Linked DNA regions of Tamandua tetradactyla. The protein of the gene in region 1 interacts with the protein of each later gene in a pairwise test. Links are inferred from orthologs where the notes say so. Each region holds a gene or a part of one and is shown in the gene's direction. Other genes may lie near its edges.

Region 1 (10,525 bases):
TCTCTTTTGTGTATCGTTTTACCTGTGCCCCTTTCGACATTGTACCAAGTTGTTGGTCATTAATTTATCTTTACCTTATCCATCTAGCCCTCCTGAATATTTGTATGAACAGAAAATTGAGAAGATAAAAGGGATAAGAGAGGTATCATAAGTATGGAATTGCATTGAAGTTCAGCTTATTTACTTTATGAATTTTTAGAGTCTGGGGAAATAGTTTTTTGGATGGGAGACAATGGGCGCAGCAGAAAACTGGGGTTCTTATTACTTAAGAATGACGGACAACTAACAGACTTTGAAAACAATATGTGGTGAAAATAGTAAGGAAAAATAGTGACTATATAACCTCATTAAGACTCTCAAAAATTATAAAAATAAGATTGATAATTAATTGGATAGATCTTTTTATATTTTTAACGTGTCTCTATGGTCCCCCTGGCTTTCCAAAAGTAAAACTGATCATTTCATCTTTTCTTCTTATAGGACTTTCCGTGACATTTCCGAAGATCTGAAATCTTCAGTGGACTAACGTGACTTCCACTGGTATGATTTCTCCAGGAAGTTCAACTGACAGTGAGTTCAGCTCGGCTATGATTTTCTGTCCTTTCGGTGGTGCCTATCAAGCAGAGCCCAGGAAAGAAGCAGAAGCCTCTTGGCCTTACATTCATAAAGCCTGGACAAGAGAGAACTTGCTGTGGGCTCCTTTTCATTTTAAAACACAGCCTTAGAGCTCTGAAATATGTGGCTTTCTCACTTCAGTGTTACTAAGATGGCTTGAAAAGTTTTAATTTATACACTGGTACCATGACTTGAAATTTTTCCACCTTGGTTATCTATATTATTATATATATTTATAAGGTTATTTTAAGAGCGCTGAACTACCTGCTGTTAAAAGTATATACCATGTAATTTTCTCCAGTTTAAGAAATCTGTTCTTAAACTTTTCTATGACAGTCGCTTTTCATTGAAGAGTCATTTCTAGTGTGTAGCTGTGTGAACAGGAAAAATGAATTTTCTCCCTTTCTCCCATTCTGTATCTTCCCCTCTTTAAGAAAAAAATCTCGTCATTGGATAGCTTATTGGAGAGGGAGGTTCAGTTGTAACTGTAGAAGGCGCAAAGACTGAAGCTCTTTTCCTCTCCACTCTCCCTCTATTCCCATTACACCATTGCCAACTTCCTAAAACTTGGCTGCCCACATTGAAGCAAAGTACTTATTAAGCTGCTATTAATGCTAACAATATGATAGAATTCATGCTATGATTATAGGTTTTTTTCCTCCCCAAATATTTTAAGTGAAAAATCTCAGGTGTAATAGTACTCTAATTTATTAAATGTATCTCTGTTTCAATATTTGGAGTCCTGCCAATTAGTTACTTATTGGTAGTAGAATTTTATATTTCTGTTGAATTTTTCTATCACACAGCACAGTGCTCTGCACATGAGACACTAAATGAATGCTTGTTGAATTAAATTATAACTTTTCCAATGTCTTAGATATTAAAATAAACAACATAATGCTTCACATTTTACTAAGCCCTTTTGCCTGTTTTTTCACAATTCCTTCCTATCAGCTTTCATATAGTTTCACCTAATTTTAAAATCAGTTTTACACAAATAGGCTAAGGATCAGAAAAGTTAAGTGATTAACTTAAAGTCATGTTAGTAAGATTGGACCTCAAGTCTTATTCAATATATTATGCAATTTTTCCAGTGCTATGAGATAGAATAGCTGTTGCTATCCATTTCTTATGAATGAATTTAAAGCACGTCCTATGATTAATGACAGGGCTGAGACTCAAATCCAGCTTTTAGCATTGTGTCCTTTCCACTGTATAAAGCAATCATCAGGCCTTCCTCAGCCTAAGGGAATATGGGGGAGAAAGGGGTTCATAAGTATGAGTACAGGTTTCCTTTTGACAAAACATTTTAAAGTAGAGATATTTTTTTCTAAAACACATTCTTTCTAAGAAGTACAGTTGATAATAATGAGCTCAAATGTGTTCTGATACTACTTAATAAAAACATTTCCATCTGGAAAACAGCTCATTTGATGGTTTATCTACTAGACTGCATGCAGACCTCTTATTTTTATTATGAATTCTTCAGAAATTATAATCTGACATTCCATCATGTGAATATTTGGCTACTGAGTAATTCATTCTATTCTCATTGGCTGAACTGTAGGTTCTAGGCCAGGTACTATGCAGGGTTCTATGGGGATAACTCATGAGAAGGCTTCTCAGACCTAAAATATTAGCCTGATTGTGTTTAATGCTAAGTAAATAAATAAATTTTTAAAAAGCTATTGAAAGGGTTAAAAAAGAAATCAGGTTTTTTTGTTGTTGTTAATTGTATACTGATAAATTTATAGCAGTAATGAGCATGTTTTAATAAGAGGCAAACATTGTGCACAGTGAATTAGTGTGAACATCAAAACCATGTTCCTCCAAAGTGCTTTTAGCTGTCAAAGTGATATTGCAAGAAACTAAAGTTGAGCTCATGTATATCTGTTGCTGGGCACAATTATTGGTACAGATACTGGGTTCTTAGAGGGGAACTCCAAGCCCTAAGAGATTACTTTAGAGCTGCCAAAATTAGCTGCACTGATGCCATGTCACCCTGAAATATTAGTAGCGGAAGTGCCCCAGAGTGCCACAAAAAGGTCAGGAAACTTAAACTGCCCAGTACTCCAGTGGCAGTGCCAGGAATGGGAATATTGACTAGCTAGGGAAAGTGTCCCTACATCTCTCTCTGAAAAACAACAGGGCATGGGATTTTCAGCAGAGTCTCTATGTAATTTAATTGTTGTTTGAGTACCAAAATTCTTAATATACTCTCAGTTATGGAAGTGATCACTGTTAGACTGCCTTAAATGCCGGTCTTACTTATTTTTTAAAATTGCAAGGGTTCCTGGTACCCTTCTCCATGCAAGTTGATTAGCTAGCAGTGTTCTCCCCTTATTTTAGAGACTGGCGTGATATGACCCTTGACAGTGGGAGGATAACAAGAAGTGTTATGGAAGCAATGTATTTCAAAACTCTGTAGCCTTAGGAAGGGACAGCTGTTTTTTCCAGGTAAAGGACAGCTAAAGGGCTTGCAGATGAGGTCTTCTCTAACCATGGTCTCAACATGACACCATGTGACCCTCAGGATTTCTTTGTTCCTCTAGTTCTGCCTGGTTGTATTAGTGCTTCAGGAATGTGTCAGCACTGGGCAAGAAATGAAATACTCAAAGATTCAGGCCATCAGAGGTTAGATTAGAGAAAAGTAGTTTGAGGTAAACTGACTAGACCTCACCTTTCAGTCCTGGTTAAAGGTCTTCAGAGACCCTTACAGGAGTATTTCGGTGGGACTTGGAAGGCACATTTCACAGTAGAAATAGCCTCTGGCCATATACTTCCAAATGCTAGTTCCAGTTAAGAATGAGTACCTTTTATTTTTATCAATGCCTTGTCTTTACACTTATTGCCATCAAAATATATTCATTTCATTAACATATTGAGGACCTGCAAGAAATACATATAGTATTTGAAACCACTAAGCAGTTATTTTTCAGTAGTTTAAAAATCAGCAAGAGAAATCAAATTTAAGATGATTGTCTGCCTCCTGGAGTCAGAAATTCTGAGCTGGAAAGAGCCTTCTATAATTAGATGATCCTGTCATTTTCTGAAGAAGGAAACAAATTCATGGGTTAAAGTGACTTATCTAACACACAGCCAGTTAGTAACAGAATTCTAAGTAGAATGTAATTATTTTTCTCCCAGTCCATTGTTCTCTTCCCTTTTCCTGGTAGTTGAGCAGCATTTGGCAAACTGAGTTTTTAAGAAACTAGTTGCACTAGTTCCAAGGGATTCTTACAGATGTTATAAGAGGTAAAAAGTGGGGTGGGTGGTGGGTGGGAAAGGTACTCCATGGTCAATTAAAATTGAGGAATGCTGAGTTTGCTTCCTTTCTGTAGGACTTCTAAGAGTTTTTAACATGCTATTACTGTGAATTTGTAAGAGGGGACAAAGACTGTGTTTACTAGACTTGTTTGACCTTAAACTGCGCCCCCCTCCTCCTTTTCTCATCTCAAACAATTTTTGGTCCTTTGGGAAACATGGCTCTAGAGTGGGTTTACACAGCCCTTTTAATTAGGTTTTTTTTTTTTTTTTGCATGGGCAGGCACTGGGAATTGAACTTGGGTCTCTGGAATGGTAGGCGAGAACTCTGCCACTGAGCCACTGTGGCCCGCCCTGCCCTTTTAGAAACATCCCCAATAGAAATACTTAATAGAAAATCTGTTACCATGGTACCATGTAATCTTTAGTAAATCTCAGAGTTTAGTGAGACAGTTGAGAGAGGAGAGCATATTTGCAATTCAGCACTATACTTTTACAGTATAGAGATTCTTTTCCACCTATGGTGTGTAAAATCAGTATTTGATTAGTTTTGTAAGTTTTTCAAAGATCAATTAATTTGCAAATACGGTAATGGTACATTGATATTACATTTTAATAATGGTTTTTAATGGCACTTAATAATTTTCAGACTGCTTTCATAACAACCCTGTGAGGCAGGCAGGCGTTAAGTATTTCTGTCATTGTACAGATGAGAAGGATACACTGAAGGCTTTCAAGTTTTTTTGGTGATGTTTTTTTCCCCCCTTAAGTTTATACCATAAAGTGATGGAGCCAGAATTTATATGTAGGACTTCTGACTCCAAGTCCAGAAGTCTCTCTTCCATACCTAGTCTCTTTTTTATTTTTTCCTAACTTTATATTTTATATATAATGAAAGGTGTGGAAGTAAATTTTAAAGTAACATTATTTTGACTTATTATCAACTACCATTTCTTTTCTATTGCCATGGCCCAGAAAGTGCAACTCTTTCTGTAGCTAACCCAAAGAAAACCCTTCTGTTGTCCTTCGCAGTGCCACTTATTTAGATGACTAGAATGTATTTGCAAATATCATTTGATTTTGAAATCAAGATGGGATATATATATATATAGTTGTAATTGTTGTTACTTTTGGAAATTGTATTGATTGGCATTCTCAGGCAAAGTGGAGATGGTTTGAAAGTAAAAAGAATATTCAAATGAAACAATAAATATTCCTTATTCTCACACAGATGCTGTTTCTTAGCTTTAACTTGCGTTGACAACCCACTGATGTAACTTCTTTGTAAATGTAAAATATTTATATTTTGAAATAAAATTAATAGTGTTGAATGAATCACATGGTAAACAGTCTTATTTCTGTTGGGAAATTTGATCTTTAGTGAAACTGAACTTTCATGAATTCATCTGTCTGTCCTGGGCCTTATGTTTTGCCTTTTCTTTGGCACCAGTTCCCACAACTGAGGTTTTTTGAAATATGGTCAACTTACATAAGGAAAGGTGTGTCTTGGGAGTGGATGCTGGGAACCTTACAGTGCTTAAAGGGGGTCCAAGACTGAGGCTGGAGTCCTTACTATACAAGGGAAAGGGGCCTTGGAGGTAGTTAAGGAAGTGGTGAGGTAGGTAGCTGAAGAGTAAGAATCAGAGAAGAAAGTTGGATAAAGAAACTGCACTTAAAGTAAAAAACAAACTTTTATTTTGAAATAATTTCAAATGTACAGGACAGGTGCAAAAAAGTAATACAAACCCCATACAGAGAATTCCAACATACTCCCCACCAACTTCAATTAATATTATTAGGAAACTGCTCAGTGCTAGGAACTAGGGGAAAAGTAATTTGCAAAGTAGTTTTAAAAGGCAGGTGGTCAAAAGCAGATGAAGCTTTTCCATATGCTCTATTTTATTTCCTTTTGAAGAATAATTCTAAACAGGGACCTGAAAAATCCCCAAATATCTTCTTGCCGAACCACTCAGATACTTCGTAAAGATTGCATTAGTAAATGTTTATCTTCAACCCGGCTCAAAGTGTTTGTGACAAAGATATGGTTAGAATATTTGCTTTATTACCGGTGGCTCTAAAAATAAGCAGGATGGACGGGGAAATGGGACCTTCCAGAGAAGCCTTGGAAAGACTTTATTCCTAGTAGAAAGCCAGTCCCAAGGAACATGCCCCTCTGGATAGAATTAACCCTGGTTCTGCTCTACCAGTTTCAACCTCAGCGCAGCTTCTAGAAATCGTTGCGTGAATTTGGAGTTCACTTGGGATGAGTCGCCTATCATCCCAAGGACCGGAAGCCTTGCTGAGGACAGATCCTTGGCTGCAGCGCAGAGTACAGGACTGGGGAGTCAAGCCCCACTGGGGAGGTGGGGCTCGGTGGCGGTGCAGGACGCAGGGCTGCGGGTCAGGCCCGGCTGGGGGTGGGACCCGATTGAGGGGTGGAGCCTCGGGGGGCGGTGATTCTCGTCTGGGGGCGGGGTCCCGGGAACCGAGCGGGTGCCCAGCCGCCGCTGCTGGCGGGTTGGCGCGCTACGGGCTGCGGGCCTGCGGTGGCGCGGAGTCGGGGCTGTGCAACGAGCCGAGGGCCATGGCCGCCTCCGCTCCCGCCGCCGTTGGCCGAGCCGGAGCATTCCGCGTCCCCGGCCCGTCAGGCTTCGCCTTCGACTCGGGACTCGAGATCAAAACTCGCTCGGTGGAGCAGACGCTGCTGCCGCTGGTTTCTCAGGTAAAGTGCGATGGCGGCGCCGCTGGCACGCTCGGGTTGGGGTCCGCCGGCCGGGAGGCAGCTGCAGCCGCGCATTCTGCGCCCCCAGTTGGGTGAGCCGCAGGGAGACTGCGGCCCGGGTGCGGAGCCCTGTGGCACCTGGTGCCCGCCTGAGGGTTGGGGGCGCGCTGGTCCCCGCGTCCCGGTGACCCGCCTTGGTGCTGCGGCCCGCGCCGAGCGCGCGCCAGGGGGCGGAGATGGCCCCGGGGCGCTCCGACTTGCAGCTCCGGGAGCGGCGGCGGCCGCCCTTTTACACCCCCAGTGCAAACCGCACCGTCGGCCCCTCGGGCGGGGGGCACTTCCTCCGACCTCCGCGCCCGGCGTGCTCGCCGCCAGGCCTTTGTCCCTTTGCCCCGCCGCTGAGAGCTCGGCCCCGCTCTGCGCCCCCTTCACCTGCCGGCGCGCTCACCTCCATGCCTTTGTCCGGCCCCTCGGGAGACTTGGAGCTGGGGACTGTCGCAGAGTCGGTGCAGACCTACATTTTTGTGCCTAGTCCCGTTTTGGGGTGTGAGTCTACACTCGGCTAACCGATCGGCTTAGTTTTAGAAAAGTTTTGATTATTTCGAGCTGAGTTATCCGCAGCCTGAGGGCTAGAATTCCTCACCTCCATCTGTGGTAAGGTGCCAAGCGTTGTGGGGGAGTGAAGAATTAAGTACCTGCCGGAGCGCGTTGGCGACGTGTGACTCACGGCTAGATTCATAACATCTTTATGACTCATGCTGGTTTTGCCAATTTAGAGGTAGGAGGAATCTTAGTGGTTATATCAGACTCTAAATATAAATATTCTTCCTCACAGCATCCTTGACACCTGGACATGAGTCCCCTGCTCAGACGCCTGCAATGGTGGGGAGGCCGTAGCTGTGAGAGTCGGCCTGTTCCATAGAACTTTAAATGGCACCTCTTTCCCAGCACAGCCCTGCAGATACTTGGAAACAGCTGTCACCTGTGTCTCTAAACTCTTGCCATGTGGATTAAATAAACACCCCTTATTTTTCTCACCTGTGCTCATTTAAAAAGTATGGTTAGAATACTCTGTTATCTAAGTAGGAAATTGTGGAATACAATCTCGATTTTAAAGTTCCAGTGGTGTTTAGGGGATTAAAACTGTAGCTCTCCTGAAAACTTCTATATCTAGAAGTCTCATTTAAGATGAATTAAGGGAACAGCGAATAAATAGCCACTGAAACCCCCTACCTGTTTGTTTGATGGAGGCGCTGACCAGAGGGAAGGACGGCTGGGGTGCGGCAGTAATGTCTATGCAACCCCGCATTCTTCCTCCCATCCCGTCCTCCCCCCACCCCCCCCAAAAGCACCACCACCATTGCAGTCATAACCAAAAATGAAAATAATGGAGCCATTTTAAGAGAAGATGACCTCAGAGTACACGTCGATAGTATGTTTTTGCACTTATTTAACAAAGCACATGTAGTGCTTACTATAAGCCAGGTCATATTCTGAGCGCTTTGTAAATATTAACTCATTTAATCCTCATAACAATCCTATGAGGTAGGTATATGCTCATTCCATACTTTGGATGAGGAGACTGAGAAATAGTGAGGCAAAGTAACTTGCCAGATGTCTTCAGCTAGTGTCAAACTGGGTGAACCCAGACAACCTGCCTCCAGAGCCTGCCACTTTATATGCCTTGTCCCCTCTAGAGATTAAAAGCCATGATTAGGTCAGAGAATGTTCGGTACAGAGCAGAGGAAGAGCTCACAGTGGAAAAACAAACTGGAAGGTTGCTGTACTTTGGAGAAATGGTATCCTTTAACAGCATTGCTGCTAGAAATGTATCAGTCCAACAGCTCTGCATTGTGTAATTCTGAGGTAAAAAGGGTGGGGAGATTAGGAGAATGGAGGAGGAAAAGTGTGACTGCTGGGAGTTAACTAGAGGTCAATGCCAAAGGAGGAAAATCTCAGCTTTTTTTTTTCCCTGTTAAAACCACTTTCAGGGCCACAGTGGAGGCTCTTCATCCCACCTGTTATGTATTGCAGCTATATCTCTACCACAATGTCATAACTGATATTCCTAATGGTTGGCTGTAATCATTGAGAAAAACTTAAATTATACTTAGAATCAATAAATAGTAAAAAGCTTGTTTAGAATACTCTGTTAACAAAGTAGAAAAGTGTGGTGTACAATTTAGAATGATTTTAAAATTTCAGTAGTGTTTATGGATTAAAACTGTAGCTCCCTAGAAAACTTGTATGTCCAGATGTCTCGTTTTCTAAGGACACTGCGTTATTATCCAATTCATATTTCACCATCTTATCCACAAAAAAATTTTAAGCATCAATAGCACGCATTTATGGTGTACTTACTAGTTGCTGCTCTTTGAGGGACTTGTATTCTAGTTGGCGTATGGGACATGCACAGGAGAGCACATACCAAGTGTCAAATGGACACCATTTGTGACAAATCCGCTAAGAGCTCAGAGAAGGCATGAAAGAGGTAGGAATGGTGCCCTGGCAGCAACAGGGTTTTAATGAAAACAAGTAGGATTAGCATTGTACTGTTCAGTGAGTTTTAAACAGTTTCGATTCTGATATCATTTAACCCCTTTTGATTTTCCACCTGAAAAGTCCTGGGTTACTGCACTTAGTCCAGAAATACAAGGTTGAGTCCGTAATAGAAAAACATACACAATATTCTGAATTCACAGATTAGAAAATAAAAGGTTGTTCATATCAGTAAATGCTAGAAGAGCATTAGATTGAATCCAGCTTCTTATCATGATAGAAAGCATGTAACAAACTAGCAATAGAAGGAAACTTCCTTAACCTAAAAAAGAATGGCTATAGTTAACATTATAGCAACCGCCAAATTTAAAATAAGCGGGTTTTTTCGTTTGTTTGTTTGTTTTGTTTTCTTGCATGGGCAGGCACCAGGAATTGAATTCTCCAGCATCGCAGGCAAGAATTCTGCCTGCTGAGCCACTGTAACCTGTCCTAAATAAGCATTTCTTTTAAAACTAGCAAGAGAAGGATGATAACTGTTATCAGCTTCAATTCAACATGGCACTGAAAATCCTGGCCAGTGCAAAGAGACAAGGAGATAAAAAGGAGAGGTGTAAAGATGGGAAAGAAAATTCAAAACTCCCATTGTGATATAATTATCTACATAGAAAAGCTGAGAGAATCAAATAAAATACCAAATTTAGGAGTGTTTTGCAAGTTTACTGAATGTAGTATACTAAAGTCAACTGCATTTCTATACATTAATAACAAGCAGAAAAAAAGTCCTAAAAAAGGTACCAATTACGATAACAATAGAACAAAAAATAAAGTTCCTAGGAGTGTATATATATATATATATATATATATATATATATGAATCCATCAAAAAGATTCCAGACTTCTTGGAAAAAATTTAAAAATTTTATTGAAAGCCAAAATATACCTAAATAAGTAGAGAGAAACACTGTATTCATGCTTAGACTGTCTCAATATTATAGCTGTATCAGTTTTCCCTCATTGATCTATACATTTAAAATATTTCCAGTGAAAATTTCAATAGGACTTATATGCAGAATTTGATAAAAGTAATTCTGAAATTTATATGAAAGCACAAAGAACCAGGATTAGCTAGGGGAGAAACAAAGTGGGTGGACTTGTCTTGCCAGAATTCAAGACTTATTATAAAACTGCAGTAGCTAAGACAATTTGGATTTAAGAATAGAATTGGGCAAACCGACAAGTGAAATGGAATAGAGCCCCCAGAAACAGATCTATACGTATATGAAAACTTGATATATGGCAGAATATATGGCATGATAGGTCAGTGGGGAAAGAGTGGACTCTTTTAGAAAATGGGGCTGGGACGATTAGTTATATAAATAGAAATACATGAAACTGGATCCCTGTCTTATACCATACACAAAAATC
Region 2 (9,485 bases), on another chromosome or scaffold:
ATACGAGGCCAAGGACACAAATGGACATTTACACACCAATGTTTATAGCAGCATTATTAACAATTACCAAGAGATGGAAACAGCCAAAATGTCCATCAACAGACAGTTGACTAAACAAACTGTGACATTTACATAAGATGGAATATTATGCAGCTGTAAGACAGAATAAAGTTATGAAGTATGTAACAACATGAATGGACCTTAAGGACATTATGCTGAGTGTGATTAGCCAGAAACAAAAGGACAAATACTGTGTGGTCTCACTGATATGAACTGACATTCGTGAATAAACTTGGAATATTTCCTTGGTAACAGAGACCATCAGGAGACAGAAATAGGGTGAGATATTGGGTAATTGGAGCTGAAGGGATAAAGATTGTGCAACAGGACTGACTATAAAAACGCAGAAATGGACAGCACAATACTACCTAACTGTAATGTAATTATATTAAAACACTGAATGAAGTTGCATGTGAGAATGATAGAGGGAGGAGGGCTGGGGACATAAATGAAATCAGAAAGAAAGAAAGATGGTAAAGATTGAGATGGTATAATCTAGGAATGCCTAGAGTGTATAATAATAGTGGAATGTACAATGTACAAATTTTAAAAATGTTTTTGCATGAGGAAGAACAAAGGAATGTCATTATTGCAGGGTGCTGAAAACAGATGATAATTAATACTTTAAAATGTCACCTTATGTGTGAGACTAAAGCAAAAAATGTTTATTTGTTACAAAATTTATATTTTGACTAGCGCGTTTCCTAATATAACTCATGTAGATAGTTTGATCGAATGTCGTAAGTACTTGGAATCTCAGGTAGGACATGAGATTTTGTTGGTTTGTCCAGAGTGCTGCCCCGATGAATCCCAGAGTGATTTGATCAGTTACTGGAAAAGTATTTGCAAGCCCCCTTCGGGGAATGGTGAGAGTGGGGAGAAATTCTGAGAGATTCCAAACAGAGTCAAGAGGTTATCCTGGAGGTTATTCTTACGCATTGAGTAGATATCACCTTGTTATTCAAGATGTAATGGAGAGGCTGGAGGGAACTGCCTGAAAATGTAGAGCTGTGTTCCAGTAGCCATGTTTCTTGATGATGATTGAACAATGATATAGCTTTCACAATGAGACTCTGTGAATGTGAAAACCTTGTGTCTGATGCTCCTTTTAGCTACTATATCAACAGAAGAGTAGAACACATGGAATAAAAATAAATAATAGGGGGAACAAATGTTAAAATAAATTTAGTTTGAAATGCTAGTGGTAAATGAAAGCGAGGGGTAAGGGGTACGGTATGTATAACCTTTTTTTTTTTTCTCCGTTATCATTTTATTTCTTTTTCTATTGTCTTTTTATTTCTTTTTCTAAATCGATGCAAATATTCTAAGAAATGATGAATATGAAACTATGCGATGATATTAAGAATTACTGATTGTATATGTAGAATGGAATGACATCTTGATGTTTTGTTTGTTAATTTTTTTAATTAATAAAAAAAGTTAAAAAAAAAAAAAAACAATGAGAAATCATCTGTGCTTGTTCGAAGCTGTTATGTACCTCAGAAAATCCATGTTCTTTTAATCCAGTCTTGTTGGGGCAGACCCATTGGTGGGTGGAACCTTTTGAATAGATTTTTTCCATGAAAATATGACTCATCCCATTGTGGTTGGTATCTTTTGATTAGATGGAGATGGGGACCTGTCTATTCAGGTCTTAATCCTTTTATTGGAGCTCTGTATGAAGAGAATAAAAGGCAGAAACATAGAGATTGCTGGTAGCTGACACAGAGAGCAGAGAGAAGAAATCAAGACACAGATGTTTGGAGATGCTAAATTAAGAGATGCAATCCACAGTCTGCCCCAGAGAAGCTAAGTGAGAACCCACAGACGCTTAGAGAGAAAGCCACTGGAATCAGAAGCTGAAAGCAATGAACTGGGAGCAAGGAGCAGCAGATGCCAGTCATGCGCCTTCCCAACTGACAGAGGTGTTCTAGATACTGGTGATCTTTCTTCAAAGTGAAGGTATCTTTCTTCAAAATGAAGGTATCTTTCTCTGGATGTCCCAATTTGGACACTTTCATGGCCTTAGAACTGTAAATTTGTAAGCTAATAAATCGCCTTTGTGAAAGCCAATCCATTTCTGGTATATTTCATTCCAACAGCATCTCACACCTACAGGAAATGGCCATTAAAAAAACAAACAAACAAAAAATCACAAGTGCTGAGAGGAGGTGGAGAAATAGTACACTCATTTACTGTTGGTGGAAATGTAGAGTGGTGCAACCGTTCTGGAAGGCAATTTGGTGGCTCCTCAGAAAACTAAATGCAGAACTGCCGTATGATCCAGCAATCCTATTACTAGGTATATATTCAGAGGAACTGAAAGCAGGGACACAAATGGACATTGACAATCAATGGTTCACAGTATTATCACATAGTTGTGCATTCATCGCCCACAATCAATTTTAGAATATTTTCATTATCACAAAATACCCAAACACTCCATACCCTTTTTCCTGCTATTATTGATCACTAATACTGGTGTTTTACTTTTGTTACTGTTGATGAAAGTATATTAAAATATTACTGTTAACTATGGCCCATAGTTTTTAATAGGTGCATTTCCCCCCATATTATTAACTCCTTATAATAGTGGCATACATTTGTTCTATTTCATAAAGGAGATTTATCTTTAAGATGGAAGAGATTCGAGCATGTTTAAGTGCTTGGTATCATGCCTACTTAACAGGAAAGAAAAGAGATACTGACAAGCTGTGAATTTACAGAATCAGATAAAATGTCAGTCAGGGTAGCTAGGTTGTGCTGCAGCAACAAGCAGCCAATGGCTCTCAGTAAGCTTAACACATCACAAGTTTATTTCTCTCTCTTAGTACATATCCTAATGTGGGATGGCAGAAGTTCTGCTCATCTTAGCCATACTCATGGCAGTCTCCTGAAAGGGATGCAATGACTTCTTCATTAGCTTTTAAAGCTGATGAGAAGTAACATGTATTACTTCTGTATGTTTCAAACAAGTCAGAGAACTGCCAAACCTTCTATGTCCTAAGGAAAGGAAGAGTTGGAAACTTTGATGAACAGCACTGACTACTACATGCCACTTCCGGTATTTGAAATAGGCACAAATTTGTATATCTGGTACCTGCTTCGAGCCTAGGCAAGATGGCGTAAAATAAAACATAAAATACTGTTAGTTCATTCCACCATATCCAAGAAATCTGGATTCTGGCCTCTGCCACTCAGTTATTTCAGTTATTGCTATGCAAGCTTGGAAGTTCCTTAACTACTCCACGTCTTTGGGTGAGGATATGATGTTCTTCCAGCTCTAATGTTTTTGGTTCTAAAGGTTTAGGACCGGAATAAAAGGAGCGGGGGGGAGGCAAGGCGTGCTATATCTCAAGACAGACTTTCTATGTTAGTCTGGATGACTGTTGGGTAACGTGCTTTCAGCCAGCAGAGGGCAATAAGGAGCAATAAAGAGACAACAGCACAATCTGCACTGGAACAGCGATTTAAAAAGCCGTGGGGTCCTAGAATAGGCATAGCCCAAACACCCCTAAAGAGTGGGAGAAAAATCAAAGGTGATGGTGGAGTTACACAGAGAAGGTAGGGTTTAACAAACGAGTATGATTGTGGAATCATATTGATATTTCTTTTAGCCTCCAGTGTCTCGGAGCAGCTAGAATTAAAAACCTGGAAGTGTTGAATTGTAACTCATACTAAACTCTGAAATCAGTTCAACAACTAATTGTTGCAGTGTGCTTTGAAATCCATTGCTTTTTGTTATACATGTTATTTTTCACAAAAATGAAAAATACATATTCCTTCTAACCTTCAATGTTTTGGAGCAGCTAGAAGGAAAAATCTGAAATAGTGGCATGGTAACCCAAAACAAACTCTGAAATCTGTTCTACAACTAATTGTTGCTTTGAAATTTATTGCTTTTTTGTATATATGTTATTTTTCACAAAAAAATAAGTCAATTGTGATGATAAATGCACAGCTATATGATGATATTGTGAACCATTGACTCTACACTTTGGATGTTTAAATGACATGTGAATACATAGCAATAAAAATTAAAAAAAAATAAAAGATCACTTTGGATGGACACCTCCCTTGTTCTCTCTCTCTCTCTCTCTTTTTTTTTTTTTTTGGTTAGTATCTCATTAAATACTTTCGTGGTTCCAGCTGCACCTTGAATAATTTGGGGAAGAGGGGGAGGTTAAAAATACCCATGCTGGGGCTCCACCCCAGAGATTGAAATCAGAGTGTCCCGGTGAGCCCTGAATATCGATAATTTTAAAGGGCTGCAACTTGATGCGCTTCGGGTATTCCTTAATCCCTTATTGCTCGTTAGAGGCGCTGGATGTCACCTAGTGGGCGTATTCTCAAAACTGAGTTCTTGAATCCGAAATTCTCTTTTTTCTTCTCCCAAGATTTGTCGGGATTGCATTTTAATGAGGACATCACTGGGTTCCTAGCGGTGGGGGACGAGCTGAATTGCCATTGCAGGAGGCAGTAACTGAGGCTCAACTCTCCCGAAGGAATAAGTAGGTTTCTGCAGAAGCCGAGAAAAGAAAACCGGAAGGACCGGAACAAGAAGGAGACCACGCAAGGGGGAAGGAGACGAGAGAGGAAGAGCGAGGGAGGAGCCAGCGGAGAAATGACTTTGGGCGGGGCGGTCCCCGGCTGAGCCCTGACTTCCGCGTCCTCGCGTCCCAGCCGCGGCTGGGTCAACATGGCGGGCTTCGGCCCGGCTGCCGCTGTCCCGGTGTGGTTGACCGAGGACGACCTGGGCTGCATCATCTGCCACGGTCTCCTCAACTGTCCCGCTACGCTGCCCTGCGGCCACAGCTTCTGCCGCGCCTGCCTGGACGGCCTGTGGGGCGCGTCGGGCGCGGGGCGCCGCTGGTCCTGCCCCACCTGCCGCCAGGGCGCGGCGCAGCAGCCGCGGCTGGGGAAGAACACGCTGCTGCAGGACCTGGCCGACAAGTACAGCCGAGCCGTGCGCGAGCTGGAGGCGGGTCCCGGCCGGGCCCCCAGCCCTGAGCCAGTTCCAGGACCCGGCCCAGCCCCGGGGTCCCCGAGCCACCGCGCACAGGTGCGGGTAGGGCGGTGGATTCCGCAGCTCTTCTCTGGCTCCAACCTTTCCGACCACTTGGTTCGCCACTACTACCCCTCTTGAGTTACTCTTCCATCCTTTCTACTTTTACATTACTTTTCTCAATCTAAAATAGAACCCACTCGTTGGAGAATCTTTGGAAAGTTCAGAAAAGGATAAAGAAGCAGAAAAAGAAAAGCAATCCTACCACAACAATAGCTGCCATACACTTTGGCCTGTTTCCCCGACTCTCCAGCTTTTGCTCATTAAAAAAAAAATAGAGTTGAGATAGCATTGTACAACCGGGATTTGTCCTCTTCTTTTTCATCATAAATACTGTATTATCCCTCAGGCCTGTAAAGCTCTGTAAACATAGATTTTAGTGACTGAATATACTTCCCTTTGGCTTTTAAATTAAAGTGATTGTCTTTGGGTGGTAGGATATTAGATGATGTAAAAAACATTTCTCCTTTCTTGCTTTCTTTGGAATTTGAATTTCCAAATTCACCACGTGTGTATATTTCTTTATGGATGAAATAAGGAATGCACTTATTTCAAAAAGTTGTGAATTTGTCCGTGTGCCTGCATAAGGGCTCCATCTCAGAGTTTCAAATGCCTGATATTTAGGATTGAGCCTGGAAATTTAAGAGCGAAGAGCCTTGACAATACTTGGCCACTTCTCTCTATAAAATAGCCTGATTATGGCTTCCAGAACACCTGCTCCTTTGAGGTCATCAGGGTTTCTTAGATATGAAAAAGGTCCTGGGTCGATTTCAGTTTCTGAGGTCCCAGCATAATTTTAAAAATGAAAAATGCCGAAACGAAGTTATAAAAACTCTGGCTTATTTAGAGTTAGATGATGAACATCCTCTTGTATTTCTGTGATTCTCTGTGTAGGACCCTTTTGGAGGTGATACAGAGTTCTCCATTGAGGTCGGGGCCCAGCTTCTGAGTGTCACCAGGTCTTGATGCCTTCGACAGATGCGAAACTTATTCCCATCCCCAACCAGTCAGCTGAGCAGATTAAGCTCTTAAGTGGAGTTATTTGGCATGCTTATCTGAGTGTTTCTTTAAATGTCAGAGATGTCAGTAAACAAACTAAAAGAGCTTCCATCTGGGAAACTCTTTGAAACCCTTTAAAATCTCCAAGATGCTTTCACAAGAAATAGTTAGGCTGATCCTTTTCACTAAGGAAGAGGAGAGGCCAGGATTGTCACCATTTTTGAAGGACACAGATGCTCCAGCCTGAGCCAAATGCCTTCCATTGTACCACTCACCTGATTGGCTCTGCCTGCCCTCCGAAATCTTCAGGCTCTCTGCACCCTATGTTCTCTCTATCCTCCTCTGCACAAAATAACTGGTGGGTTTTCCTTAGCTCTCATTCCCCATTCCTGGGATGAACTAGGGTACCCTGTTAAGGCCACTGGAAGATCAGTAGAGGGAAATCAGGATGCAAAAGGTTTAGGGAGCTCCCCTCCTCACGTTCTGTACAATAGTTCTTTCATCTTTCGTCTCTTCCTTTATCCTGTGTTTATGGCTCCGTCTGTCAAGTGCTTGGTGCAGGGTCCAGTTGTATGTTCTGATTTTGCTCTTAAAGGTGGTAGCACAGAAGAATAGCACAGACGTTGGTCTGGAGCTGGCAGAGCTGGTGGAGCAGCTTGTGCATATCGTCAGGAGGCTTCAGAGCCAGAGCCCTCTCTCAGAACCTGGGCCAGCCGACGAACCACGTATCCTAGGCACTGTCCTCTCAGCTGGGAGAGGAGAGGATGTGCAAGGGGGTGGGGCTAGAGGTCATTTCTGACTGGGACACCTGAATATGTTTGCAGTTGAAGGATGCAATGTATCTTGATCTTTCACCATGGAACGATTACTAGCAAACATGGACAGTTGGAAATACAGAATGCTTGAAGTAAAGGTGGGAAACTTCAAGTGGTCTAGGTTCCATCCTCATCATTCCACTTAAGGTGCTTCTCAGAGGTCACCAGTGACCTGCAGATACATCCTACAGGCAACCTGGCCCTTACCTTCACTGATCTCAGTATTTGACACAGTAGCCCACACCTTCCCACTCTAAGCTCTCTCTTCCTTTAGTCTGTGGACGCAAGTCTCACAACCTGTCTGGGTAACATCTGTTTGTCCTTCAGCACCCTTCCTCAGGCAAACCTTTGCTGATTTCCTTGAACAAGTCAAATCTCCCCATCAGAAGTCCTTCTGATTCCATGTACCTTTCATTTGTAGCCATTATCCCAGGCATAACTTTGTACCCACTGGAATATAAACTCCACAAGGGAAGGGACCTTGACCTGACCGCTTTTGTTCTTTTTTCACTATTATATCCCCAGGCGCCCTAACACAGTGCTTGGCATATAGTAGGTACCTGACAAATAACTACTAAATGAATGGATGAATGACTGGGTGGTCTTCAGGGATACAGTGTGTTAGGGTGAAAAGTCTGAGGGTCTGACTTTCAGACCTGACTGTGACTTTGCCACTCATGAGTATTATCACCTTGGGCAAGTCGCTTCATCCTTCTGCGTGTCAGGTTCCTACCTGTAAAATAGGAATGACACATGGCCTGCCACTTCACGGATTTGTCGTAAGGATTAAAGGAATTCTTGTATAAGCAATGTGAAGATGTAGGATGATATTATTAAATAAGAAGATTTAGCTAACCTCCATGAACCTCAGCTTCTTCTGTAAAATGGGGATAATTTCATCTACCTTATAAGATTGTTACGCAAATTAGAGATGAGCAGTACCTAGCATGTGGAAAGCTCTGACTAGGTGATGTCTACTACTGTCATTGGTGGAGAGAATGGGAAATGGGTCGTATATGCAAAGTTGGGAAGCAGGTGAGAAGCTATACTGGGGGATAATTGGATCTGAAGTTAAAAGAAAACAGTAAAGAAAAATGGAAAGCAGGGTCTGAATGTAGGCAACATGTTCACATTAGCTCTCGAGAGGCGGCATGATAAAACAACAGTTGGGAAATATTATTATTCTGGCCTCTGAATCTTATCTCAGTGACCACTATAAAGCCCCCAAAAGATGGGCCAAACATTTTTAAACACTTTTTGGCATTACCTAAGGAATCTATGTTCATTATACACAATATTAGAAAATATGTAGCAGTTTAAAGAACAAAAATAAAGTCATCATAACCCCACCATCCTGAAATAACCATTCTTTGATATTTTTGCTGTCCTATATATTATTCCAGATTGTTTTCAATTCACACATTTTGAGGGCTTAATTAAAAACTTGTTAAGAGGTAAATGGGAAATTGCAGGTGGATGGTAGAACTTGAATATAATATTTGATGGATTCCACCAGGGACTTCCATTTATTTATTTTTTAATGATTGATCAATAGGCTTTTTCTTGTGGGATGGACCTTTCCTTGACTCCTCCCAAACCAGTGCCTTCCAAAACATCTGAAGGTGAAATGAGAGACATTCTTAATGCCCTAGAAGAAATCCAGAAGAAATTACGAGAAAACATCGTGTGGAAAGAGGCTCTTGAAGAACAAACACAGGGTGAGTCGGTTTATTTGGTGGAGAAGGATTAATTCTGGAAGTTTGGGTGAAAGAGCAAAGTGCTCCATAGCCTTGTTCTTTGATGACAGGATCTCAGAGCATGGCTTTGTTACTGTGGTGTTGAAAATGAGGTAGGAGTAGGCTGGTGTTTTGGTGGCTGGATATGTTTTTGAATACGATAGATGTGGTGTATCTTGGGCCATTGGTAGATATAAATTCAAAACCTGGCTGTATTTTCTAAGACCCCATAAATGCAGAACCTCGACCTCATTTTGTTATCTTACTGTTCATCTGTATTATCTCTGCTGAGAAGATTCAGAACTAAGCCATTTAAAAATTTTAATGCATAAATATCTTTATTAACGTACATGCAACTTTGTAAATAGTTCTCGATAACATCTATTAAAATAGAATTTCTAGGGAGTGTATTAATAACATTAAACAGTAACAAAGGAGAATGGAACCTTTCTATCTGGACTTTGTAGGTTCTTTTGTTGTTCTCTCCGAATCACGATTGAAAAGCAGTAAAGTTGGCTCATTAGACATTAGCTCTCTGCTCCGTGACCCTGCCTCCTGCTCTCGCCACTTCCAGATTTACATAATTTAGACATACATCTCTTAGAGCATTTTTATTTTTAAATGTGGTTGCTCTGCTTAAAGTATCGTTCCTTATTTAAGTAGAGAAACATGATTCCTTGGCAAAATTTTCTGAAAAAATGATTAGAGAAGAGTTGACTATTTGTTCAAAAAATTAGACTGTATTTTTTTAATTAAAAAATTTTAAATTGTGGTATCATATATACAACAAAAAATTTCCCAATTTTAACT

Evidence for each region.
Region 2: the proteins of CTNNAL1 (region 1) and RNF135 interact in binary tests that used the Homo sapiens proteins (3 or more experiments, as listed by UniProt). The two-hybrid records come from large-scale screens. The link is inferred for Tamandua tetradactyla from reciprocal best matches to the Homo sapiens genes CTNNAL1 and RNF135.

What each region holds. Positions count from the first base shown.
Region 1 is NC_135328.1:27,926,320-27,936,844, reverse strand, and holds the start of CTNNAL1 (alpha-catulin), read left to right. Parts: upstream 1-6,383; 5' UTR 6,384-6,463; coding exon 6,464-6,601; intron 6,602-10,525. Other genes in the region: TMEM245 (transmembrane protein 245), read left to right, coding at 481-526. UniProt on the Homo sapiens protein: May modulate the Rho pathway signaling by providing a scaffold for the Lbc Rho guanine nucleotide exchange factor (ARHGEF1).
Region 2 is NC_135332.1:49,196,158-49,205,642, reverse strand, and holds the start of RNF135 (E3 ubiquitin-protein ligase RNF135), read left to right. Parts: upstream 1-4,734; 5' UTR 4,735-4,759; coding exon 4,760-5,122; intron 5,123-6,719; coding exon 6,720-6,849; intron 6,850-8,494; coding exon of another isoform or gene 8,495-8,540; coding exon 8,541-8,657; intron 8,658-9,485.